7 linked regions of the Macaca mulatta genome follow. The protein of the gene in region 1 purifies or fractionates together with the protein of each later gene. This does not show direct contact. Links are inferred from orthologs where the notes say so. Each region holds a gene or a part of one and is shown in the gene's direction. Other genes may lie near its edges.

Region 1 (4,300 bases):
ATGTCACCAGCTGGGCTCATTGCCTTGCCCTGACAAATGGCACTTATGTGACTTCTGGTGGACAGAGCTGTAGCAGGGGAAAGTGAGTTGGTGCCTGAGGAAAGTGGATCGAGAGGCTGAGTTCTTAAACTCAAGGGCCCTGCACCAGTAGCGAGGGGGCCCAACTGAGAGGACATGGAGCCCTCACCCTGAGGATGTTGCTTTGGAAGAGGATGCCTGGGTGGTGCAATTACCTCGTGGCATACTGAGATGGGGATTCGTGCATCCTGCATTCATTGGGAAACAAAATGAATTTCTCGGAGAGACAGGGCTTTGCAAAATGTAAAGCGCTGCAGGAAGCAACATACATGGAAAGGTCAGGAAAGAGAGCCGATCTGTTTGCTGAGTGTGGGCTGTACTTCTAAACGCGGCCAAAGTCGATGCGCAGCCCCTGGAGGTGGCACAGTTTGGGGACCCCTTGGATAGGCGTGCACTCGGGGAGGCTGGGAAGCCAGAGAGGAATGGGCCAAAGTTTCTTCGGGTATCTGCAGAACCCAGGACCGCCCGCACAGCTTGCCTCTTCTCTTCCCGCCCCTGGCCTGCACGCGTGAAATCTGCAAATTCCCCTTTCAACTGCTGCACGCGCTCGTTCAACTTCGCCCTGGCTAGAATCGGGATAACCGTCCCGATGATTATATAACTTTCCGAGTTCAGGAAAGAGAAATCCAAGGGAGAGAAATGATGAAATTTTCTTTATGGACGGATTTTTTACCTCCAAAGTAAAGTTACAGAAGTGCACAAAAAATATATATACAAATACCCATACACCCACCACTCACAAAGAGTAACTTACATTTTGACTTATCTCGAAGAGGGTTTTTTCTTTTTAGTTACCAAATAAACCTTTCTCTTCTCCCAAGTTCCAGTATATCTTAATCCAAAATAAGTCAACCTTCTTTTATTTATTATTCTCCTTTTCCATCCTCACCCCAGATTTATCTTAAAGGGTAAATTCCAGGACCCCCGAAATCCCTCGGTGAGTTCCCACATGGCCAGGTCTGCAAACATCTAGCCTCAACGTACAAGATCCGGCGATGGCCGCAACCGGCAGTATGCACAGCTGCATTTCCTCCCCCAGCCCCAACTCCCGCATGCAACTTTGCAACTCACTCTCGGGCCCGCTGTCGGGGGCGGGCCTATTTATTCGGCCCGTTTGGCGGAAGGATCCCGCGCGTGGACGCAGTTGCGCTCAACCTCTCCGCCCCGCCCCGCGCCCTGGCCCCGCCCCCTCCCGCGCCCGGGCCCCGCCCCCTCCCGCGCGCCCTATGGCCCATAAAGAAGTCCCGGCCGGGCCGCTGCACTCCCCGCGTGCATCCGTGCGCCGCCCGAGGCTGTCTAAGGAGTCGGCGGCCATTTTGTTCTTCTCGTGGTTCCAGTGGGGAGAGAAGGAGGAAGCAGGGAGCGGGGCGGCAGGGGGGGGACCCGCCGCGGCTGCTGCCACCGCCGCCACCACCGCCTCTGCTCGTGGCGTGGGAAAGGAGGTGTGAGTCCCGGGCGCGAGCCGGCGGCGGCGCCGCTGCGGGAGGGTCGGCGGTGGGAAGGCGATGGCGGATTTAGACAAACTCAACATCGACAGCATCATCCAACGGCTGCTGGAAGGTAAGGGGGGCGGCGGGCGGCTGAAGGGGGAGGCGGGCCCGAGGGCGGCAGGCGGCCCCGGGGGCTCGAGGGAGGGGAGTTGGGAGGCCGGTTGGGCTTGCAGCACCGTGGGAAGTGAGCTTCTCGAGTTGGCCCACGGGCCGGGGGCTGCAGCTGGAGGGAGGCCAGCCTGGGATCCCCAACTTGTCGCCAGCCGCGGACCCTCCAGGCTCCACTCATTCATTGCACGAGGATGCAGGCTTTCTCCCGGCCGTGGAATTTGAAAACTCCGCTCCCCACCCCCATGTTTCCCGCCTCTACCCGTTTGCCCCCGCACACCAGACGGGTCTTTGGAGCGATTGTTGGGCTGGGGGCCCCAGTCCAGCCTCCTGGACGGCGTGCGCCGTACTGTGCGAGATGGACTTTTCGGTGCTCGTCCTCACGGAAGGCAGTTTGATGAGGGCGTGAGTTCCACCGGGTTTGGGGGCTCTTTTCCTGCTTGCTTTTATTTTTCGTGGTTCTGGGGTCTTGGGGGGCCCATTTCTTGTTACTTGGTAACAAGCGTTCATGTCTCAAGAGGTGTGAGAACCTGTCTTCGCCTGCCCTCCAAATCCTTTTAAGTTATTCTAATCTTGGAGAGGTCTCCGCGCTCTTTTCCTGAACGTGCATCTGAACAGGAAGTCAGCAAGGCTGACGGTATCGTTATCTTTCCAATGTGCCAGGCTCTGTCTTGAGCACTTTGCGTCCATGAAATTATTACTGTAATAATCATAACTGGCGCTTCTAAAGGGCTTACTGTGTGTCAAGCATTCTTTGAGCACTTAACACAGATTTCATATTCTCCCACCCATTGCAAGATATTTGCTTTTTTTTTGTTGTTTTTGTTATTTTACAGAAGAAACTGAGATGAAGTCACTTAACCAAGGTCACACAGTTAGTGAATTGGGTTTCAAACCCAGATAGCCAGGAGCTAGTAAAACTCGCTACAGACAACACTGAAGGAAGGGGGCCAGTGGTTTAGTAAAGGTTAATAGAAAGGTTTAAATTTCGGCTCATCTAAGACTGGTGAGGTGCCTGGCAATTGATTCATGTTGATGTGGGAGAGGGGCGAGGTTCAGCTTTTAAAGACGGAAGCTGAAATGAGCTGCTTTCAGATTCAAGGGCATGTCAACAGATGCTAACATCTTATCCAAGACTTTGTAAGAATTCAGTCATACCCCTTAACTTGGACACTTCATAATGGGAACTTGGCAGTTTTAACTGCTTTTTGCCTTTATGTAGTCCTAAAATATTACTGGACTATAAATGCTGTGAGTGGTGGAGTCGAGGGCATGACAGCTCTAGTGTTAGAATTTGCAGATCTTTTAAAGTAAGTTATTAAAATGAAACTCTGAAAATATCTCGTCCTTTTCTTAATCTGTGCATTCTTTCCTTTTATGCTGTCTTTAAAAAAAACACTAAATGTCATTAAGGACCCCTGAAATGCTCTTGAAATGTTATTGCAGGTGAAAACCTTGTGTTGTAGGTGAAAACCTTGTCATTCCTTTAATGTCAGGTATTTATATAAGAACCATATTTTTTCATGCTAGTTAATATAGTTATTTGAGGCAGCAGTTGGTCAGAAACTGATTAAAATAGTTTGCTGTAAGAAAAGAATTTTTTGTTAAATATTTTCTTTCTAAATTTTAAAATTCTGCTTATCTCTGCAGGGATATGTGTGGCTTTATTTCTCTGAGGAAACAGGAAAAGTTGGAATTTGCATGGATTAGAAACATTAGAATTTTAAATCTAATTAAATTAGAATTTTAAGATCATCTAAGGCTTGCTAATTTAAGTTCTGGTTTGCCCATAACTGCCTCTGGATTCATAAATAGCTTTTGTTAATTTTAATCATTACAATCCTAATAAGTAGTTTGCCTAGTAAATAATGATACATCTAAAATGAGATCATTGTTTCTTAATAGTTCCTCTTGTTATATGGCACTTGAAAACCAGGTTTTCTTATATTTCTTTTTTTGCTGAAATTAAGAAAGCAGTGCATTTTAATGCCTTGGGAATAGGCTAACTGCAAAGTATACTTAAATTTCCTTTTTTCTCGTGGGTGTTAAATTGGCAGAGAAACATTTGAAGATGATCCATTGAGGATATGTAGATATCTAAGTTAAATGATGTTGGTAATAAATTCTGTGCTTTACAAGTTTTTTATTTTAAAAAAATTAAATGTAATAATTTAAAATAGAAATGAGAGTCTCACTGTGTTGCCCAGGCTGTTCTCAAACTCCTGGTATCAAGCAGTCCTCCCACCTCGGCCTTCCTGGGTTCTGGGGTTATAGTCATGAGCCACCATGCCCGGCCTGAATTTTGTGCTTTTCGTAATGCCCCCAAAACCTTTTTTTTTTTTCCCCTTAAATGCTTTAAGATGTAAGTATATCTGAAAGTAGAGGCAATATGACTTTTGTGACCTTGGTAGACTTTTTCACGTGTTCAGAATTGATCTTTTAAGCTTGAGAGCAGTATAAGCTAGTTGAGAAGTAGCTCAGTAATAGTACTAAAAAGCTAACTGAAAAGTGAAGTCTTAAGAAAAACAGCATGTTGGTTTAGATCTTAGTCACTAACTTTGCAGTTCTTTTCTTTTCTGAACTCCTGAATGTTTCTGTAAGTAATGGCATCACCTCTGCAACCC
Region 2 (3,500 bases), on another chromosome or scaffold:
TGTTTATGAAGAGGTCAGTTTAAGTGCTTATAGTTGTTTTGTTTTTTCTTATGCTGTTTCAGTAGCCTAGAAGATGACTGCTGGTGCTGTTAGCCAAGGCAATCTGCTAGAATTCAGAAATTTTAGAGCAAGCTCCCACATAATTATCTCCCCCATTAAAAAGAAATTAAACATCCATGAGGATTTGAAACGTTATTTATGTTGACAGGTCAGATTTTTGGGTGAGCATTCAGACATATTTTGACTCTAAGGGTCCAGGAGGGGAGAAGATATGATCATTAAAGAAATTCAGTAGAATACTGAAATCAAGCTTTGGTTTATCAAAGAAAATACTGTGGAATTAGTTTATTTAGTTATCTATTTAAATTTATTCTATTTTGATATAGCATATAGTTTCATTTACGGTGCTATTTATTATTAATTTATATGCCACAGGAAAGCATAAATAAAAGTTAATATCAGCTTTAGGGTTGAAAATAATAGAAGTGATCATTTAAAATAATGATATCAAATGAGAAGAGAAAGATGGTTCATGGGTTGTGAGACACACTACGTGAAAGATTGGAAGAAAAAGATAATTTGAATAGAGATAGTAGATAATGAGAAAGCTGTCCTGAGATTATGTGAGTTTCAAGGAAGCGCACATGTGAATGTCAATAAGTAGATTTGAGGCAAGTTAGAAATTACTTTGAAATTGAGAGTAAGATGTTTGGACTTCACTTGGTTAATGGAAGCCATTTTATGAGTGCCATCATTCAGTGGCACTTGAGGAAGATTGTTTTAGCAGTGGCAACATTTATAGCAGATCAGTTTGGAGAAATGCTGAAGGGAGAGCTATCAATGTACCTTGTTTTTTGGATGAAGAATCACTCAGCAGTGTTCAGGCACTATTCTGCATTCTGAAGCTCAAGCTGAGAGCAAAATAGAAGCCATATTCTCATGAAATTTATGAATGTATGTAGAGATGGATAGTAAACAAAAAGATATCAGATGGTGATACTACCTTCAATTAAAAAATTTTAAAAGTGTAAGAGTGATAGATAGTTAACAGATTAGTGGCAAAAGGAATTTTTTTTTTTTGAGATGGAGTCTCACTCTGTCACTCAGGTTGGAGTATAATTGTGCGAACCTAGCTCTTTGCAGCCTCCATCTCCCAGGTTCAAGCAGTCCTCCCACCTCAGCCTCCCTAGTAGTTGGGACCACAGGCACACACTACCACGCCCAGCTGATTTTTTGTATTTATGATAAAAATGGGGTTTCACCATGTTGCCCAGGCTGGTCTCAAAGCAATCCTGAGCTTAAGTGATCTACCCGCTTTAGCCTCCCAAAGTATTGGAATTATAAGCGTGAGCCACTGTGCCTGGCCTTAGGTAGTATTTTTTATAATGTGGTCAGAGTAAGGCTTTATGGTAATATGACATGTGAGCAGAGTCTTGAAGGAGGTGAGATAATAAAGCTGTGTGAGTATGAGAAGAACATTCTAGGCCAAGGGAATAATAGGAGCAAAGATTCTAAGCTGTAGGAGTACTTACTTGAAGAACAAGGAGGTCTAGGTGGCTGGACCATAGCGAATGAGTGGCATTGTAGTGAGAGATGAGGTCAAACATGTAACTGGGAAAGTGGAGGAGGTAGGGATGAATTATGTTGGGTCTTGTGAGCCATTGTAACAACTTAAATTTTCACTTTAGTTAGCCATTAAAAGATTTTAAACAGAGGAATAATGAGATATGATTTATGTCTAAAAGAATCTCTCTAAACTATGTTGGAAATAGACTCTAGGGGTACAAGGACGAAAACAGAGATAGTCATGTTAAATAAGGGTTATTCTCTGTGGATATCAAATATACACCTTAGATATAATATTGAAATAACTTATTGGTAGCTTATCAAAGTGGCATGCTGCCAACTCAGACAGTATCTTTGCCAAGTGCTACTTCTTTTTCTTGATTAGCCATTTCTTTCTTTCTCGTTACAACTTGAAAAATAGAATATTTATTGAAATTTACTTTGAGGTAAATTACAAAAACATCTGAGATTTTAACACTATTGTTTTCCCCTTTATAGCTCAGGCATTTGAAAGGATGATGAGTCCAACTGGTTCTAATCTTAAATCTAATCATTCCGACGAATGTACTATTGTCCAGCCTCCTCAGGAGAACCAGACGTCCAGTATACCTTCACCAACAACTTTGCCAGTCTCAGCACTTAAACAACCAAATGTTGAAGGTAATAGAAGAAAATGCTGTGTCTAAGACTAAAGATAAATTATCAAAATAGAAATTCTCTAATGTAGCCAGAAATTCTCTAATGTAGTCAGGAAAGAGAAACCAGATTAAATATCAAGAGGGATTTAATACAGGGAATTGGTTACACATGCAGGCTGGAAGACTGGAAGAGCAAAAAGGCTGTGCTCAAGTGCCTCAGCAATTAGTAACTGCAGGAAGCAACCACCACAACTGGAGTTTGGGGCTACAAAAGGGGAGAGGCTAGAGCTCAGTGTAGGAGCACCAGGAGGTGTTTGGATCGCAGATGTTGGAGTCAGAAGCCATGGTCACAGCACCATCAAGAGGCCTCATAGAGTTGGTGCTCAGATGACTAAAGTAGAGCTCCAGATTTGATGTTAGGAGTACTGAAAATCATGAGTCTAGCAGCTGTATCTAGCGGTGTTGCTGCTGCAAAGATCCTGGCAGGATCCAGAAACAAAGAATTCCTTCTCATTTCTTCCCACCTTATGGTCTCCCACCAGTGCCTGCTATTGGAAAAAGCTGACCAAAGCCAGTAACGAGAGTCTGGGAATTGCACTTTCCAGACTTCCAACCTGGCATCCAAGAGCCCAGTTTAGAGGGTGAGCTTGGGTTTGAGAGGCAATACGTAAATAATTGTTCTATCTCCTTTTCATTAAAAACCTATTTGTAGTTGTGTATTTTACCACAGTAATAATGTTTTTTAAATCTGTTTTTAAATCATTGAGTTATCTGCTCCTTTTTACAACCCGTCATCAATTAGCATCTTGAGTAAGGCACATGTATGTCTTTAAATATGAATTATTAGTCTCTTACATGCTGGAAAAAAACCATAAATGTCAGATAAAGGCAAATTTGGATCCTTGTATTTTTGTGGACTTCAGTTTATTACTCAGTAACTGTTTTCCATTTATTATAATGAAATAAGGAGACTCAGCATTATATGGTTGTATATTATAGCCTAAAGATGAATAATTTGTGTTTGAAAATATGTGCATATTCTTATATTGATAACCCAAATGATTAAATTATAAAAATATTGCAAATACAAAAAAGATATGTTATTTAATATGTCTACCTACATTGCAAAAAATATATATAATTCCAATTTTTTCAGAGTTATCTTTATTATGTTCTGGAAAGTAGACATTGAACCTTTTTTTAAAAAAAATATTGTTCTAAAATCATCTGGCAGAGATTTTCATAACCTTCCTCTATGGATGCTTTGTAAGAAAAGAGAAAAATGTTTATGCTGAT
Region 3 (3,500 bases), on another chromosome or scaffold:
CTAGAATTGGTTACTCTAAGGCTGAGAATTCCAGTACTTTTAATGCTGTATACTTGATTTTCTTACCCAATTCCTTTGCTTTCAGGTTTCAAGTTCTTCACATTTCAAATTCTGGAGGAAAAATTATCAATATTTTACTTACATAGTTTATCCTCTGCATATTATTGAAACATTTTCTTAATAATGTCTTGAGATTTTATTGTGTTAGTTTTGACCAGTACTTCAATTAATATTTATCAATTTAAATTATCATTTCCTCTTTTGATGTAGTATCATCTGCTATGTTAAATAATATAAATTAAATTTCTTTGTAGTATTTACTAATGAACTTATGCCATATGATGCCATATGGCATCAACTGCCTCTAAATACCACTCATTTTCTAAGTTTTTAATGATGTACCATTAATAAGTAGGATCTTTCAGCCAGGTAGACTCTTCAATATCATTTTCCTCATATTCCTCTTTTGTTAATGTGTGTTCCACATTCCATGGGGTCAGAGGCATTTTTGCTTTTTTAATTTATGTCACCAAAGAAAATTGTTATTTGATTGAAAGTATTTATTTAAATCTTGTTAAAGCAAAAAACATATAGCAAATATAACCCCAATTTAAAATCAATCTGTCTATATCTATTTCTGATTCGTTTATACTATGTTCTTTATATAATTCAACGTGAATTTGTTGCCTTTTAGATACAATATTAGAAACAATTTGAGAAACTTAAAATCTACTTGGGGAAATAAAACAGCAAAAGTACACAAGTAATGACAACATAATGCTTAATATGAATGTCACTGGGGTTTCACGTGCCATGAGTATTTGAAAAAAGACATTAAGAAAATTAGAAAAGGTTTTGTGAAGGAGAGCTGAAATGGGCCTTTGAAATACAGATGACATTTTCATTGATGAGAGTAGGAGTATCATAAAAGTAATTCATACAGCTGACATAATCAACTCAGAAGGAAATCCATAAAATAGTATTACTTTAAAGAAATTTCAGGGAGGTAAAATTTCTGAAAAGTTTTGTCCCTAGTCATCATACTTTGTATGTGCATGTCTGTCTGTCTCTCCTCTGTCATTTGTTTGTTTTTTGTTTTGTGTTTTTGGAGGGGATGGGGTAATAAAGGACCATAAGGAGATACAACACTGTGGGAAGAAACAAAAATCTTGGGGAAAAGGAAATACTGATAAAATCATTGCCAAACACTTAAGAATAATATCTTCTAGTGATGGAAGAATAATATCTTATTCTTCCATCACTAGAAGATATTATTCTTCCATCACTAGAAGATATTCACAAAGCATGTGAATGTGCTTTCCATACATTATTTAATCCTTCAAATGACTCTGTGGTGATTTTTTTATAGACATTTGAAGATGTGGTAACTAAGGCTGAGAGAAATTAAATAATTTGCCCAAGATCACACAGTAAGTGCCTAAGTTAGGATTTAAATTCAGTCCTTTTAGATTACCAAACACTTTTATGATTCAGATTTCTAGCAAATCTGGTACAAATATGAATGTTACTGAATGTGAGAGGGTAGGGGGAAAAAAATTAGAAGTCTTTCATTTTGTTTTATTTGTGTATATTTTAAAAGTTTATAACTTAAAGTTATTCTAATAGATGTGGCGTTTTGGTTAGTTCCATAAAATGAGATGCGGTAAGTTTATCTCAGAAAGCAATCATCTGAAGCAGCAGCTTTTCTCATGAAAAGCCTTTACCACTCAATTTTAAGTTAATGTTCTATACATAACTTCTAGTTGTAGTTAAGAGGTTATTCCTAGTGTTATACTTTGTAACAAGCCTGTTATTATGTAGTTGGCCTTGGCAGAATTGTATGAAGATGAAGTGAAGTGCAAATCTTCCAAGTCTAACAGACCTAAAGCTGCAGTCTTCAAGAGCCCACGGACACCACCTCAACGGTAAGTTTTATTTTGTTTTGTTGTAAAAAGAAATTACAATTCTTTCTAAAATTTTACTAACTTCAAATTGTTTTAAATGGCCTTTTTCAAGGTTTCTTCAGTAATTTTTAAAAATTATTCCAAGGGCAAGGCAGATTTGGATAAAAAAGAAAAGATTAATATCATTTAGGTACTATTTTAAGAACTTTTACAATCAGAAAGCTAAAAGAAACTTATGGAAAAATTACCTTAAAATACCTAATATTTTGGTACGTATCATATGAAATTATATCCTGAATACTATTTTTGTTGGGCACAGTGGTTCTTTAATATTTTTTGAGTTGTAGGACTCACTAAGGGTCTGATGAAAGCTGTAGAATTCTCCTCTCAAAACAACTTTCATGTGCAAGTTTGTCATTCATTTTTAAGAGTTTGTGTGTTTCTTAAAGCCACTTGAAGCCACTCCATGGAGCCTCTGCAGGTCTTTTGTCCTCCATTTAAGAATCTATGATTTTTGAAGTCTGTCTTTTCCTCCTTTGGGTGATGATTCCTCCAGTGTGTGACATCCTAAATAGTATTTGTTGTTATTAAAATCCCTGAAGTATAAAAACAGCCAACTATGAAGATTTAAGAGATGAGAATCAGGTGTATTTTATTGCTGTGAGTTTTCTTGTTGCCAGGAATATTTTCATTTACATCTTTTTAGTACTGTAAGTATCATCCCTGGGGAAGAAATGTCAGTTTTCCCATTATATCTTATTCTCAGAAAGTCCATTTTATAAGTTTTCAATTCATCAAAAATCAAGACTAGTAAATACTGTGTTTACTTCACCTGTATTCATCAAGTTGTTAAAATGTTACATTGAACTTGTGTACACATGTATTCTCTCTCTTTTTTACTCAACTATTTGAAAGGAAATTGTAGCCATCATGACACTTTACCTCTAGATACTTCAGCATGCGGCTCCTAAGAAGCAGCACACACTTAAAAAATTGATAACACAGTACACCTTACAAAATTAATAATAATCGAGATGGGGAGTGTTGACTTATGCCTGTAATCCCAGCACTTTGGGAGGCCAAGGTGAGCAGATCACTTGAGGTCAGGAGTTCAAGACCAGCCTGGCCAACATGGCAAAACCCCATCTCTCCTAAAAATACAGAAATTAGCTGGGCATGGTGATGTGGGCCTATAATTCCAGCTACTCGGGAGGCTGAGGCAAAGGAATCACCTGAACTTGGGAGGCAGAAGTTGCAGAGAGCCGAGATGGTGCCACTGCACTCCTGCCTCAATGATGGAGGAGGACTCTGTCTCAAAAAAAAAAAAAAAAAATGAATAGTAATTCTATGATGCCATTTAATGTATAGTCTGTAGTCACATATCTCTTACAGCTTTTTCTTTGGATTTAGGATTCAACCAAGGACATTGCATTGCATTTAATTATTCCTGTTTTGAATTTCTGAATACAGAGAATTCCCCCCACCTTTTTATTGTTGTTTTTAGCTCAGCTGCATAATCTAAAATTTATTATGTTGACTTTTTTAGAGAGTCTAGGCCAGATGTCTTATAAAATTTCTAACATTCTAGATCACTGT
Region 4 (3,500 bases), on another chromosome or scaffold:
GGTGGGCGCTTGTAGTCCCAGCTACTTGGGAGGCTGAGGCAGGAGAATGGCGTGAACCCGGAGGCGGATCTTGCAGTGAGCCGAGATTGCGCCACTGCACTCCAGCCTGGGTAACCGAGCGAGACTCCATCTCAAAGAAAAAAAAAGAAATATATCAAAGCTCTGATTCTTTCCTTTTCTAAAAGAGTTGTGGAGCTTCTGGCAAGGACCATATAGTTCTGTCTTGAAGACAAAGCCTGTCTCCTTTAGAAATTTAGAGTTTCCTTTATCTCTACCCGGGCACACAAGATACCAGTTTCCCACCAAGTGAGCAGTGATCTATTTCCAACTGGCTTAATTGTGTTGCTCTCTTTAAATATATATTTAATTACCATCATGCCTTTAGATATTGAAATTTGTATATTCCCTGTCGGTTGTAGTTAAGTCTCACCGGAACCATAGTTATCAGTTACTCCAGAAAGATTTTAGGATATTCCTGCATTGAGGTTCATGTTGGCTTAGGTATAGAAATTGCTAATTGTATGACTGTTTCAAAAAGTTATGTTTTAGTGTTCTGTGAAAATCTTACTGTTAAATGACAAATTATGAAATACGTCTCTAAGTGGAAATGTTGGCCAGAAGAGAGGTGCCATAGATCAGAGATGTTATTTGCCAAGTACAAAAGGAAAGAGTTACAAAAGTATTTTTTCATTTAGAAACAAATTTTATGCTTGTTTTTACATCTATAAAGGAAAATAAAAAGTCTTCAGATTGTTGTAACAATTAGGTGTGTTATACGTAAAGCAACTAATGTAGCTTTTTAAAAAAATGTCAGTAGTTTTTGAGGAACTGGTGGATTTTGGTTACATGTATAAGTTCTTTAATGGTGATTTCTGAGATTTTGGTACACTCATCACCCGAGCAGTGTACATGGCACCCAATGTGTAGTCTTTTACTAATGCAGATTTTAACCACATATTCTGAAATAAATATTAGGTCTTTTTACTCCAGAGTGGTGTGATGACATCAGAGTTGAAAGTTATTTGAGTAGAACACAACTCTTAATTCATTGTTCCATTTTTTAGGAGTTTGGTTTTTAAGCATATCTCATGTTCTTCTTAAAACTTTGGATTACTTTCTCCATTACATAGATTTTCACAATATTTTCTCAAACCTCCCATTTTCTGTTCCTGGAAGAATATTTTACATTATTAGGCATTTCCCCTTTCTCTCACCTGCAGAGCTCCGGAAATTGGCCTCAGTCCTTGTCAGCGACTGGATGGCTGTCATCCGCTCTCAGAGCAGTACTCAGCCCGCTGGTAAGCTCCTTAGTCCTTTATCCTTTGTATTTATTTCTTTCCTACTGGGATGTGGCCTTTCGGTACTCCCAGTCTGCTTCACCTCTGACAGTGTTTAAATAAAATCCATTTCTGCTTTGTTTTTTCACGACAGAGAAAGATAAGAAGAAACGTAAAGATGAGGGGAAAAGTCGAACTACCCCTCCTGAGCGACCTTTGACAGAGGTGAAGGCTGAGACCCGGGCCGAGGAGGCCCCAGAGAAGAAGAGGGAGAAGCCCAAGTCTCTTCGAACCACAGCACCCAGTCATGCCAAGTTCCGTTCCACTGGTAAGACTGGCGGCTGGCCTCTGGAGGGTTCGTGTGCATGTGCACACCCAGAGCCTTATGGGGGAATCATTTGATGTGTGATATGTTAATCGTAAGGAAGAGAGAAGATTAGCAGAGGAAGCTTTGGTTACAAGGTTAGAAGAACATTTGCGGGTGAGAACGGGAGGAAAATTCAGGGGTTTAGGGGTTTGAGTTCAGCTGCCCACACCATGCTGCTTTCCCCAGGACTAGAGCTGGAGACACCATCCTTGGTGCCTGTGAAGAAGAACGCCAGCACAGTGGTGGTTTCTGACAAGTACAATCTTAAACCTATCCCCCTCAAACGTCAGAGGTATGGACCATATTCTCAGGTTCTGAATGGGGTGGATCTGTGGACACAAGGGAGCAAGAGGGGGTGAGTCAGAGATGTTGATGACAGTTCCTCTTCTGACAGCAACGTAGCTGCTCCAGGAGATGCTACCCCCCCTGCAGAAAAGAAATACAAGCCACTCAACACAACACCTAATGCCACCAAAGAGATCAAAGTGAAGATCATTCCGCCACAGCGTGAGTCTAAAGTGGGGAGATGTACTTTGAATTAGGAGCAAAGTCTTTTTTTTTTTTTTTTTTTTTGAGACAGTCTCGTTCTGTTGCCCAGGCTGGAGTGCAGTGGCACGATCTTGGCTCACTGCAAGCTCCGCCTCCCGGGTCCATGCCATTCTCCTGCCTCAGTCTCCCGAGTAGCTGGGACTACAGGCGCCCGCCACCATGCCCGGCTAATTTTTTGTATTTTTAGTAGCGATGGGGTTTCACCATGTTAGCCAGGATGGTCTCAATCTCCTGACCTCATGATCCACCCGCCTCGGCCTCCCAAAGTGCTGAGATTACAGGCGTGAGCCACCGTGCCTGGCCAGGAGCAAACTCTTATGGGAACGAATGTCTCTGGGAACGAGAAGTTTTTTTCCCTTCTCTTTTATTATTTCCCTCCATTTTCCTTTGATTTCTTGGTACCCTTTACTTTTTGTACCTCTGGAACTCCCGTTTCCGGTGTCACTTAGGAGTAATTTTAGAGATAAGATAGGGAGGTGTGCCATTTTGTGACTGGTCAGGGGCGCCTGGCAAGGTGATTTGTCGTGTTCACAGGGGCTCACTTCATCAGTTACCTGAGCTATAATTCACATTCAAAGCTATGGCTTGCCTGCCACAGGAAACCTAGAATAACAAGAAGAATATCGTGTGTGAATCCTCCTGCATGTGCTTCCTGGTCCTCTTGAGCTTGTCGTGTCCTAAGTTGAGGCAGGCTCTTCATTGGCTCATTTTATGCCTAGACTGTGTTTGCAGGTGTAGGATTGTGAAGGAGGTCTGATGATGCCATTTGATGCTCTTTCTTTTTGTAGCTATGGAGGGCCTGGGCTTCCTGGATGCTCTCAATTCAGCCCCTGTTCCAGGCATCAAAATTAAGAAGAAGAAAAAAGTGCTGTCACCTACAGCTGCCAAGGTATGGGCTCCCAAAAGTAGGTTTCAGTGAGAGTATAAAAGGTAAAGTAGAAGAAAGGGCACAGCAGCTAGGAGTTGTCCGGGAGGACAAGAGGCGTTTTGCCTTGGATATAGACTGTGCAGGTGAGACCGGTGTGGAGACAGAGTCTTCCTTTATATAGGAACTGTTGGGGGATTGTGCCTGGGACCCTGGACTAATTGCCTTGCCCTTGGCTTTCCAGTCAGTTCACTTCCTTTTCTTTCACAATAGCCGAGCCCCTTTGAAGGGAAAACGAGCACAGAACCAAGCACAGCCAAACCTTCTTCCCCAGAACCAGCACCGCCGTCTGAGGCAATGGACATAGACCGTCCAGGCACCCCGGTTCCCCCTGTTGAAGTTCCAGAGCTCATGGATACAGGTAATCTAGAAACTGGTTCAG
Region 5 (3,500 bases), on another chromosome or scaffold:
GCCAAATTTTTTGATCCTCAGTTTATATTTCTCTTTCAGATTGGAAGCTGGAAAAATGTAACTGTGCTGTTTCTCCATTCCAATAAACTTGAGACACTTCCAGAGGAAATGGGTGATATGCAAAAATTAAAAGTCATTAATTTAAGTGACAATAGGTTTGTGATACTATATTCATCAGTTGGTTTATAGGAGATGTTGGTTAGATGAAATTAAGTTTCATATGATATATAATAGAATAACTAGTGCTTGTTTCTCTTTAAATATACATAGTAAGTCCTCAATGTTACTGATAGGCTCTTGGAAAGTGTGACTTTCAGTGAAACAACATATAATGAAATCACTTCTTATAATGAAATCACTTCTTTCGTTCATCAGTGTTTTAAGAAAATGACATTATTTGAGGACCTGCCATACACAGTTTTGCAAAAGCTGTGGTTTCCAGGAACTTATCAGTAACATTAAATGAGGTCTTAAGTGTGTATTTTTGTTTTTTCTTTAAATACAAGGAGTGGTCTAATTTTTCTGATGTTAATTTATCATACGGTGGTTGTTACTGTTCATTGTGGGTTGACTTAGCTATATATTCCTTATTCTCTCCTTACAGTTACCTTTTATTCCTAAAGTCACATCTTCACCTTAATATTGCTATTTAACAAAACAATTTTGGAATGTATCTAGTCTGTTGCTAATATTTTTCTGGACAGAAATCTGGTTTCAGCAAAGCCAAGATGCAGAGCAAATTGATCACTAAGGTTGTAAATTGGAACAATGTTTAAGTTAAAAACAGAATGTCCATACTTTTTCCTGAGGTAAACATACTAATGATGATTCAACTGCATTTGTAGAGTGTTTTCACTTTTTGCTTTCATAGTGTCTTGTGAAGTCTTCAAAACAGCTCTATGAAATAGTATAATAGTATTGCCATTTTATGTAGGAGGGTTTTAAGACTCAGATTTAAGGTGACTCACATAGCTTATAAGGTAGAGCTTTAATTTAAACTCAATTTTTTTACTAATTATGTTATTCTAACTTCTGTTTTATTTAAAAGAACCACTGCTTTCTTAAGTCAGTGTTTGACCCTTTAATTCCTACAACTCACAGTAGGTTGTGCAAATTACCTTGAAAGAAAGCCATGGAAGACTAGTTAGGCATAAGATAGCAAGGCTGAATTGGATAATTCCCTCTTAAATAGGGTATTTTCATTTAGTATTCTAATGAGTATTTATAGTTGACCCTCTGTATTTGTGGGTTCTGCAAGTGTGGATTCAAACAACTTCAGATCGAAAATATTTGGAAGAAAATTGTGTCAGTACTGAACGTGTACCAACATTCCCATTGTTATTCCCTAAACAGTACGGTATACCAACTGTTTACATAGCATTTGTATTCTAATAGGTATTATAAGTACTCTAGAAATGATTTAAAATATATGGGGGGGATGTACATAGGTTATATGCAAATACTATACAATTTTATATAAGGGATTGAGCATCTGCAGATTTTGGTGTCTGAGGGAGATCCTGGAACCAGTCTTCCACAGATACTGATGAATGACTGCACTTTGTTTTTACTCATTATCATCTTAGGATAGTCTTCTAGATTACATAACTGCTGGCTCACAAATAGAGAGCAGTGCAGTTTTTATATCAAACTATCACTAAGAGTGCTTCCTATAACAGTTTGTTCTGAGTACAAATAAACCAAAGCAGTTTTATGAGACATTCCTTAATGTGTTCTTTTCTCTAAGGCAGGGACAATTAACTGTTATTTTTAAAGGTTATTCTGTTGTCCATTTTCTTGCCAGGTGAATTGATTCAATTAAAGAATTAATATTTTTGAAACGAATTCTTGTAAAACTAGATATTTTGTCTTATATCCTGTACAAATAATTATATGGGACTTTTCTAGATTTTTTTCTCCTATTTTCATGTGCAACTATACAGCATTTTTCAGAAAACCTTTGAGCCCTCATTCATTTTAAATCTTCTCAAATTTTAAAGTTTAATTTTTGTTTGTATTTTTTCCTACAGATTAAAGAATTTGCCCTTTAGCTTTACAAAGCTACAGCAATTGACAGCTATGTGGCTCTCAGATAATCAGGTGGGCATTCTGATTTTATAAGTTAATGGAGTTCCTATTTGTGTTATATAATTTTGCACTGTGATTTACATAGGGTCATTTAAGAGCAGCTATACAGTGGTACACGTGTAAATGTATCTTTTATATAAGAAAAATCTCGAACTATTTAGAAGGACATAACTTTTTATAAAATAGGTATCGCTTTATAAGTAATGAATTCTGTTGGACTTGCCTGATTTCTCCTAAATCTGTGAAAATATTGAGAGATTAGGAAGTCAGACTCAAACTCTGACTTTAATAGCATTATCTCATACACTTGTCATATTTTATAGTGAGAACACTTAAAGTCTACTTGGTAATTTCAAGACTATAACAGTGTTATTAACTGTAGTCACCACGTTGTACAGTAGAGCTCTTGAACTTATTCCTCCTAACTTGACTTTTGTACCCTTTGACCAGTATATCCCAATCCATGCTCCAGCCCACCCCTGCCAGCTCCGAAACCCACCATTTTACTCTTAGTTTCTTTGAGTTTATCTTTTTTAGATTCCTCATATAAGTGAAAGTGTGTGACATTTATCTTCTTGTTCCTGCTTATTTCACTTAACATAATGTCCTCTAGGTTCATCCATGTTGTTGCAAGTGACAGGATTTCCTGAATAGTATTCCATTGTGATTGTATGTGTATTTGTGTACACACACTACATTTTGTTTATTCATTCATCCATTCGTGGGCACTTAGGCTGATTTGCTATTGTGAATTCTGCTGCAGTGAACATGGGAGTGCAGACATCTCTTCAACATACTGATTTTATTTCTTTTGAATATATATCCAGTAATGAGATTGCTGGATTGTATGATAGTTCCATTTTTAATATTTTGAGGAACCTCCATAATATATTCCCACCAACAGTGTGTAAGGATTCCTTGTAAGTTGTTATAACAAAATAGAATATACAATTTACTGATCTTCTTAATTAAAAAATTAATGCTTGTTATTTAATGTTGAGCAATACTTTATAATAATTTATTTAAAGCTCTATTTTCCCAGTGTTGGATACACTGGTCTCATATGATACTTATGAACTCTGCAGCCAAATTTTCTTGGGAAACTGTATTGTATTCTAATTCTGGATTATATTAACAGCCCTGAGGTGTTAATGCAGTAAAGAAACCCACAAGGATTCTTCATAACTTTTTAACTGGGTATCCTTCTCTGTTCTGTTCTGTCTTGTTCCATGCTGTACTTTTCTTTCTTTTTTTTTTTTTTTTTTTTTTTTGAGACAGAGTCTCTCTCTGCTGCCAGGCTGGAGTGCAGTGGCGTGATCTCAGCTCACTGCACCCTCCACCTCCCGGGTTCAAGCAATTCTCCTGCCTCGGCCTCCTGAGTAGCTGGGACTACAGGCATGTGCCACCACTCC
Region 6 (4,262 bases), on another chromosome or scaffold:
AGAAAGAAAGAGAAAGAAAGAAAGAAAGAAAGAAAGAAAGAAAGAAAGAAAGAAAGAAAGAAAGAAAAGAAAAGAAAAGAAAAGAAAAGAAAGAGAAGGAAGGAAGGAAGGAAGGAAGGAAGGAAGGAAGGAAGGAAAGGCAGGCTTAACTTGCTTGGGTTTTCAGCATTTGAAAAAAAAACTTGCTTTTACATATGAAACACAAATTATCTGGGAAGACTTCCTTGGTAGGGGTGGGTGCTCTAAGCTCTATAGATGGAAATAGCATTTGGAGATTCATCCCATGGTCTGGATTCTTCTCCAGGCAAAGGCCCATTCTTGCTGGGTTATAAGTTCTTGTTTGAAAATCTAACCTGAATTTAAGGCATTTCAGTGATAGACTGGATTAAGAAAATGTGGCACATATACACCATGGAATACTATGCAGCCATAAAAAAGGATGAGTTCGTGTCCTTTGTAGGGACATGGATGCAGCTGGAAACCATCATTTTCAGCAAACTATCACAAGAACAGAAAACCAAACACTGCATGTTCTCACTCATAGGTGGGAACCGAACAATGAGATCACTTGGACACAGGAAGGGTAACATCACACATCGGGGCCTATTGTGGGGAGGGGGGAGGGGGGAGGGATATCATTAGGAGATATACCTAATGAGTTAATGGGTGCAGCACACCAACATGGCACATGTATACATATGTAACAAACCTGCACGTTGTGTGCATGTACCCTGGAACTTAAAGTATAATTTTTTTAAAAAAAATCTAAACTGAAAAACAAATTCACTCAGTCACTCTAGTGCATAAGAATAAATTCACAAAAACCTTACCATTTAAATAAAAACATGGGAACTATGCCTAACTACAAGATGGCCAATATTCTGCAGAGGACTTCAGCCACCCTCTCCATTTGACTATCAAACGAGGTGATTAGATATAGTGCGTTGTCAATTTCCGCTTGAGCCTCAGTTATAGGTTGCAGGTACAGAGCTGGAGTTATCAAAGATGAATTTTAGAAAATCTGTCTCTGTTTAAAACCTTTTAAGTGCTCATACTCAGTCCCATTGCCAGGAGTGAAACCCAAACCTCCCGTATGACAAATCAATATCCAAGCCGACAGATCACACGGGATCTTCCTTATAGACCAGAACCATAGTCAATTCTTAGGTCCTTTTAAATATTAAACTCTTCACTTCCTCTCTCTACCTCTACCTGTGCGTCGCGCCTAACTTAGAACCGCCAAATCCCATTAAATCCCACCCTCACCAGCGACGCACGGTCTCCATAGGCTCCACGCGCCGCTTTTGCAGTCCCCCATTGGCCGGTTTATTGCCAGATGGCCTGCTCCCACGCCCTAGTCATCTTTGATCTCCTCGGATTCCGTGAAGCCCCGCCCTTCTCTTCTCCCCTTTGGCCCGTCTTCCCCAGCTGGCTATTTGGTTGGCCAGCGCGCTTGCCACTTACGTCATTCACCCGCGCCACCCGGAAGCCGCGGTTCCTACCAACCGTTTTTATTGCTGGCGGCCCTGAGGTAAAGGCCGCGCTTGGGTGTCCCTGGGTGGCCGGGTCCCCGAGTTGGGAGGGGCGGAAGGCTGAGCCCCCAGCTTGAGCCGGACAAGTCGATTCCCAGCGTTGAGAGGGTAGAGATGAACTGTGTGTGAGGCCAAACTGGAGCGGTCAACGTGGTCTTCCCCCTCCCCACTCCCCAGGAGCCCATCATGGCGACGCCCCCTAAGCGGCGGGCGGTGGAGGCCACGGGGGAGAAAGTACTGCGCTACGAGACCTTCATCAGTGACGTGCTGCAGCGGGACTTGCGGTGAGTGACAGTGCAGAGGGCGGGGCGTCTGGAACATTCCACGTGGTGGGTGGGGCGTTCAGAGTTAGGGCCAACCCTTTGGATTGGTGGGCGAGGCGTTCAGAGTCCGGCCCCGCGCTCCTTGGAGCGTGAAGTGGTGATGATATCCGGGGTGCAGTTTGGCTGGGACGTGGCGTTCATAGCAGGGGGCGTGTCAGCGCATGCGCGGCCTCCGATGTTTGACGGATTAGGGCTTGTTTTCTGGAGCCACAGTTCTCAGGTTCGAATCCTGGCTCGGCCATTCTTCATCCTTGTGAATACGTCATACCTCGCCTTTCTGTGCCCTATAAACTTCTCTGTGAAATGGGGAGTTTTCTGGAACCTTCCCCATGCAGTGGTTTTGAGTTTTTCATATGTCCCATCTTTGTAAATAATTTAGTAGCATGGATGCCTGAAACATAGTAGAGGTTCAATAAGTATGAAGAAATATTATTGCAATTTTTGTTAATCTAAGCAAGAAGTAAGGTGTTCAGAACTAGGACTATGAGCATCCTAAAAGGGATGGAGGATTTTTCTAGGGTGAGGATGGGACATTATGATTGGAGTTCAGTATTGGGAGTGTAGTAATAGTAATAATAGCTAACATGTAGAGAGTTTACCATTTGGTAGGCATTATTCTAGATGCTTTGAGTAAATGCTCATTTAATCCTAATGACTCTACAAGGTAATACTGTCATCTGCATTTTATAAATGGGGAAACCAAGTCCCAAACAGGTTCCTTACTTGCCAAAGCCACACATCTATAAAGGACAGAGCCCAGATCCAAACCCAGGCAGTCTGACCCAGAGCCCAAAATTAACTTGTACACTAAAAAGCCTTTTCAGCGTATGGTGACGTGAGAGTCTCAGAGGGTCATGATATGAGGTATACTAGGAGGAATGGGGCTGCCTATTGGTCACCATTGTACTTTCATCCCATCAGAAAGGTGCTGGACCATCGAGACAAGGTATATGAGCAGCTGGCCAAATACCTTCAACTGAGAAATGTCATTGAGCGACTCCAGGTAAAGACTATGGGGTTGGGTATCATTTTTTTGGTGTGTGTGGGTAAGGGAGGGAAATGGGAAGAGAGACTCCAGAGCCAAACCTGTCACCTGACCTAAGAGTTCACCACTGACCCCTACCTCTTTTTCCCTGGCCCCACAGGAAGCTAAGCACTCGGAGTTATATATGCAGGTGGATTTGGGCTGTAACTTCTTCGTTGACACAGTGGTGTGAGTGTCTACCCGCCCCTCTGAGCCCACAGGGTTCAGCTTACCCCTTCCCTCATGCAACATATATTTTTTTGAGTATCTTCTATGTACCAGGCACTATACGAGGTTTATTATCCCAGTAGGATATAAGCTAGGCGCTGGGGATGTGACAGTGAATAAAATAGGACAAAATCCCTGCCTTCCCAGAGCCTCAATTTGGGGAAGGGTGGGGAGCAAAACATACACTCTGCTAAACAGTGATAAGGACTTCCCCCGCACTTCCTCTAACCTCTCTTTCCTCAGCCCAGATACTTCACGCATCTATGTGGCCCTGGGATATGGTTTTTTCCTGGAGTTGACACTGGCAGAAGCTCTCAAGTTCATTGATCGTAAGAGCTCTCTCCTCACAGAGTAAGTCCATTCCATGAGGATAGTGTGTAAAAATACCACCATTTCCAACACTCTTCTCACTTTCCCCATGGCTGCCTAGAATGATACTTAAGGACTCATCTCCCCTCCTCCTCAGAGCTGGGGCTGAAGAAATGTGGTTGCAAAGCCCATGTATAGCACATAATAAGCATTCAAAAAATGATCTTTGTATCGTTCATTCATGCAGACATTTATTGGGAATCTTCTGTATGCCAGGCACTGTGCTTAGCAGTGGGAATGCAGCAGTGAACAAGACAGAAGAGTTCCTTGAAGGCTTAAAATCTAGAAGGACTATACTGTTATACATAAATACAATTATGACCAGATCCATGAGGTCTCAGCCTGTTAGAGTTGGTAACAAGAAAACTAGTTACCTGTGATTTCACTTCCTGCTAATTTTACTATTCATTCACTGTGTTCCTGCCACACTGACCTTCACATGCTTCTTTCAGCACCCCAAGAATGATCCCACCCCAGGGCAATTGCCGTAGCTGTTCTCTCTGCCTGCACTGCCCTTTTCCCCAGTACCCACATGGCTTCCTTTCTCCTCACTCATCTCGCTTAAATGTCGCTTCCTCGATGAGGCCCTCTGTAACCTAACTTTAAAATCACAGCCCCTGGCATGCTTGATTCCCCTCCGTCTACTTTTTTTCCCTAACACTTATCACCCCCTAATATTTACTGTGTAATTTCTTGCTTTCTCATATTGTCTCCTCCAATTAGAATGTAAGTTTTACAAAGGGGGAGCTTTGGTTTATATCCCGGGTGACTAGAGTAGTACAAACA
Region 7 (3,500 bases), on another chromosome or scaffold:
CAATGGTGCAATCTCGGCTCACTGCAACCTCCGCCTCCCGGGTTCAAGCGATTCTCCTGCCTCAGCCTCCCGAGTAGCTGGGATTACAGACATGCACCACCATACCATGCCCGGCAAAATTTTTATCTCCCTGTTGGTCAGGCTGGTCTCGAACTCCTGACCTCAGGTATTCCACCCGCCTGGGCTTCCCAAAGTGTTGGGATTACAAGCGTGAGCCACTGTGCCCAGCCAAGAATCTTTAAAAGAAAGAAAAAATACTCTGGCCAGGCATGGTGGCTCACACCCATAATCCCAGCACTTTAGGAGCCTGAGGTGGGAGGATCGCTTGAACCTAGGAGTTGGAGACCAGCTTGGGCAACATAACAAGACTCTGACTCTATAAAAATTTTACAATTAGCCAAGCATGGTGGCACATACCTGTGGTCTCAGCTACTCAGAAGGCTGAGCTGGGAGGATCAGTTGAACCTGGGAGGTTGAGGCTGCCGTGAATCATGATCATGTCACTGCACTGCATCCTGGGCAACAGAGCTACCAGCGCCCCTGTCTCAAAAAAGAAAGAATAAAAGAAATAGTCTAGTCTGGGTGTGGGGGCTCATGCCTATAATCCTAGTACTTTGGAAGGCCAAGATGGGAAGATCACTTGAGCCCAGGAATTTGAGACCAGCTTGGGCCACATAACGAGACCCCCATCTCTAAAACAAAATAATAAAAAAAGAAATAGTCTGATTTTAAGTTTGGTGTAGATAACAGAGTTGACTAAGGACCTGGAGCAAGTGTTACGTGGTCATGGGACCACATGGGAGTAGTCTCTGGGTCCCTCTGCTCCCCACATTTCTGTCAGCCTAACCTGGACACAGACTCTCTTCCGAGTGCAGTTCCAGACGTTCCCTCCCAGTTACGTTCATCAAATGCGTGCTGCACCTGCCCCATCCTCCCCAGGCCTCGCCCTGATGCCACACCACTAATAAGCTTAGAGGGTTCCAGAAACAGTACATGTTTAAGATAATTTTGAGTTCTCCTGAGTCTGTTTAATCTGCTTCTTCATAAGCTGTAACACTCTGAATGTTTTAAGTGCTAAAAGTTGCGTTAATATTGACTTGTGTTTCCTGAAGCGTGCTCATGAAGTGACCGTACTGCTGTGACAGGTTCTCACCAAGGCCCTAAACTGACCTGAGACTAGGGCCAGACTCCTGCATCCATGCTTCTACCCCTGGTGGTCCAGGGCGATACAGTGTCCCATCCGCTTGCCTGCGTCCCTGGACAGGAGCTTCCCATTCACCACAGCCTTCGTCCTAACCGGACAGTGTGTGGGGGAGGGAATCATCGAAGGCAGCAGGGAATTGGGGTTTTATGGGTGCAAAAGGCAAAACATGTGCTTTTTCCCAGACTTATTTCCATTCCCATAGCCTGAACAATCAAAATGTCCTGGGAAATTATAAATGTCTTTGCAGAGTTTTTCTCCTGAAAGAAATTTTCTTTCGTTTTTTATTTTTTTGAGACGGAGTCTCGCTGTCACCCAGGCTGGAGTGCAGTGGCGCGATCTCGGCTCACTGCAACCCCTGCCTCCTGGGTTCAAGCGATTCTCAAGCCTCAGCCTCCTGAGTAGCTGGGATTACAGGCACCCGCGACCACGCCCAGCTAGTTTTTGTATTTTTAGTGGAGATGGGTTTTCGCCGTGTTGCCCAGGCTGATCTAGAATTCCTGGCCTCAAGTGATCCACCCACCTCAACTCCCAAGGTGCTGGAATTACAGGCGTGAGCCACCGTGCCCAACCTTCTTTTTTGTTAAGAGACACCTAATTAGACAGTGGCTTCTGTGGAAGTAGTCACTTCTGTGTATTTGATATGTCAAGAATTTGGTCTCTGGGTATATTTTGACAGCACTGGGCAAAAATCATTCCAGAAAAGATGGACTCAGTGATGAAAGAGGAAGAGATGACTGCGGAACCTTTGAGGACACAGGACCCCTTCTCCAGGTGGGTGGCAGTTGTTGCTTTTTATAGAATATGGATTTGCTATGGAGTAGCCTGACTACAGAATTAGGGTCACAGCTAGTTAAGCTGTAAGGCCTGAAATGTAAACTCCTTTTTAATCCCTTCAGTCACTAAATGTCACCTTCCTGAGAATAACCTTATTGGAGACAAGGAAATGTAAATACAATGGGGTTTTGAAAGAGATAGTAGCACTTATTTTGAATGGCTAAGCTTTGCTCTGTTCTCTACCACGGAGCCAGCTCTAGTGGCACTTGTCAAATAAAAAAAAGTTTGCCAAGTACAGATTGCAAATCTAGCTTCAGTTTAAAAAGAAGCACACCCTCCGGCCGGGTGCACTGGCTCACACCTGTAATCCCAGCACTTTGGGAGGCCAGGGTGGGCAGATCACCTTAGGTTAGGAGTTTGAGACCAGCCTGGCCAACACAGTGAAACCCCGTCTCTACTACAAATTCAAAAACAAATACAAAAACGCAGCCACGCGCACCTGTAATCCCAGCTACTCGGGAGGCTGAGGCAGGAGAATCACTTGAACCCGGGAGGCTGAGGTTGCAGTGAACCGAGATCATGCCACTGCACTCCAGGCTGGGTGACAGAGACTGCGCCTCAAAAAAAAAAAAAAAAAAAAAAGCACACCCAGGTAAATTTTGTTGTGGGTACTCTATCACAATTAAAAAAAAAAAAAAAGAATTACTTACCCAGCTTCTCCCAAGAATAAACAGAACACGCATTTTTCAAAGGTAGTGCTTGTGCTCCTGGTGGCCAAGTCCCAGCATATGCTTGTTTAGCCTGTCTGTTGCCAAATGCTTCAGTAGGGGCTTCTCTTACTAGCAGATGTAAATGTCCAAGTCAGGCAGGGTTGTTTGGCTGCAGACTTATGTTTAGTTTCTCTTCCTGCCTAGTTTGACTATAAGGCTGTTGCTGATCGACTCCTGGAAATGACCAGCAGGAAGAACACGCCCCCCTTCAACAGGAAGCGCCTCTCCAAACTCATCAAGAAGTCAGTGACTGGAGGGAGGGTTCTGACATCATCATTCCTTTAGTTCCCATCTCCTGGTGTGGGACAAGCCATCTGCATGCTTATCTTTTTTCTTTCTTCTTTTTTTGTCCTTTAATGCATTTGTGCATAGCAATGTAATAGACACATGTAAACTGAAAAGCTTAATGGAAACAGCAGTCCCACCCCTCAGGTTCCATTCTTCCAGTGCAGCCATACTCATCTCTTAGCTGCCTTAGAGTGATGTGAAGTCTATTCATGTGTGAAATGAACCAACCAGAAACTGATGTGAAGCTGCTATTTAGGTGTCTTCTGCTGGTGTGCTACTGAGATAGATAGGGTTAATTCTTTACCTCTCCCCTCCCTCCCATGTGGCTATGCCAAAAGTGTTAGTTAATTCAGCTGTCAGTGTTGACATCACTCTGACCATAGTGACATGATGACCTGGAATTCACGGAGGGCCTCATGCGTGGCTTGCTGTCATCGGTCACAACTGTCTGATCACACTCTAGG

What was found.
Region 2: the proteins of PPP1CC (region 1) and ZFYVE16 purify together in Homo sapiens (affinity purification with mass spectrometry; 3 studies listed by BioGRID and IntAct, counting the BioPlex papers as one, with this or other methods). This does not show direct contact. The link is inferred for Macaca mulatta from reciprocal best matches to the Homo sapiens genes PPP1CC and ZFYVE16.
Region 3: the proteins of PPP1CC (region 1) and UBXN2B purify together in Homo sapiens (affinity purification with mass spectrometry; 3 studies listed by BioGRID and IntAct, with this or other methods). This does not show direct contact. The link is inferred for Macaca mulatta from reciprocal best matches to the Homo sapiens genes PPP1CC and UBXN2B.
Region 4: the proteins of PPP1CC (region 1) and PPP1R10 purify together in Homo sapiens (affinity purification with mass spectrometry; 8 studies listed by BioGRID and IntAct, counting the BioPlex papers as one, with this or other methods). This does not show direct contact. The link is inferred for Macaca mulatta from reciprocal best matches to the Homo sapiens genes PPP1CC and PPP1R10.
Region 5: the proteins of PPP1CC (region 1) and ERBIN purify together in Homo sapiens (affinity purification with mass spectrometry; 6 studies listed by BioGRID and IntAct, counting the BioPlex papers as one, with this or other methods). This does not show direct contact. The link is inferred for Macaca mulatta from reciprocal best matches to the Homo sapiens genes PPP1CC and ERBIN.
Region 6: the proteins of PPP1CC (region 1) and UXT purify together in Homo sapiens (affinity purification with mass spectrometry; 4 studies listed by BioGRID and IntAct, counting the BioPlex papers as one, with this or other methods). This does not show direct contact. The link is inferred for Macaca mulatta from reciprocal best matches to the Homo sapiens genes PPP1CC and UXT.
Region 7: the proteins of PPP1CC (region 1) and RRP1B purify together in Homo sapiens (affinity purification with mass spectrometry; 7 studies listed by BioGRID and IntAct, counting the BioPlex papers as one, with this or other methods). This does not show direct contact. The link is inferred for Macaca mulatta from reciprocal best matches to the Homo sapiens genes PPP1CC and RRP1B.

The regions. Positions count from the first base shown.
Region 1 is NC_133416.1:117,922,747-117,927,046, reverse strand, and holds the start of PPP1CC (serine/threonine-protein phosphatase PP1-gamma catalytic subunit), read left to right. Parts: upstream 1-1,500; 5' UTR 1,501-1,583; coding exon 1,584-1,638; intron 1,639-4,300. UniProt on the Homo sapiens protein: Protein phosphatase that associates with over 200 regulatory proteins to form highly specific holoenzymes which dephosphorylate hundreds of biological targets.
Region 2 is NC_133411.1:86,770,180-86,773,679, forward strand, and holds part of ZFYVE16 (zinc finger FYVE domain-containing protein 16), read left to right. Parts: intron 1-2,064; coding exon 2,065-2,226; intron 2,227-3,500.
Region 3 is NC_133413.1:69,099,272-69,102,771, forward strand, and holds part of UBXN2B (UBX domain-containing protein 2B), read left to right. Parts: intron 1-1,821; coding exon 1,822-1,925; intron 1,926-3,500. UniProt on the Homo sapiens protein: Adapter protein required for Golgi and endoplasmic reticulum biogenesis. Involved in Golgi and endoplasmic reticulum maintenance during interphase and in their reassembly at the end of mitosis.
Region 4 is NC_133409.1:152,443,089-152,446,588, forward strand, and holds part of PPP1R10 (serine/threonine-protein phosphatase 1 regulatory subunit 10), read left to right. Parts: intron 1-1,220; coding exon 1,221-1,298; intron 1,299-1,431; coding exon 1,432-1,605; intron 1,606-1,830; coding exon 1,831-1,936; intron 1,937-2,038; coding exon 2,039-2,151; intron 2,152-2,981; coding exon 2,982-3,082; intron 3,083-3,331; coding exon 3,332-3,479; intron 3,480-3,500.
Region 5 is NC_133411.1:74,125,744-74,129,243, forward strand, and holds part of ERBIN (erbin), read left to right. Parts: intron 1-39; coding exon 40-155; intron 156-2,030; coding exon 2,031-2,100; intron 2,101-3,500. UniProt on the Homo sapiens protein: Acts as an adapter for the receptor ERBB2, in epithelia. By binding the unphosphorylated 'Tyr-1248' of receptor ERBB2, it may contribute to stabilize this unphosphorylated state.
Region 6 is NC_133426.1:47,680,317-47,684,578, reverse strand, and holds the start of UXT (protein UXT), read left to right. Parts: upstream 1-1,462; 5' UTR 1,463-1,506; coding exon of another isoform or gene 1,507-1,718; coding exon 1,719-1,816; exon of another isoform or gene 1,817-1,828; intron 1,829-1,862; exon of another isoform or gene 1,863-2,246; intron 2,247-2,776; coding exon 2,777-2,858; intron 2,859-3,000; coding exon 3,001-3,068; intron 3,069-3,350; coding exon 3,351-3,458; intron 3,459-3,663; exon of another isoform or gene 3,664-3,830; intron 3,831-4,262. Other genes in the region: uncharacterized protein LOC144338585, read right to left, coding at 1,507-1,720. UniProt on the Homo sapiens protein: Involved in gene transcription regulation. Acts in concert with the corepressor URI1 to regulate androgen receptor AR-mediated transcription. Together with URI1, associates with chromatin to the NKX3-1 promoter region.
Region 7 is NC_133408.1:3,855,260-3,858,759, reverse strand, and holds part of RRP1B (ribosomal RNA processing protein 1 homolog B), read left to right. Parts: intron 1-417; exon of another isoform or gene 418-540; intron 541-1,880; coding exon 1,881-1,975; intron 1,976-2,688; exon of another isoform or gene 2,689-2,892; coding exon 2,893-2,990; intron 2,991-3,500. UniProt on the Homo sapiens protein: Positively regulates DNA damage-induced apoptosis by acting as a transcriptional coactivator of proapoptotic target genes of the transcriptional activator E2F1.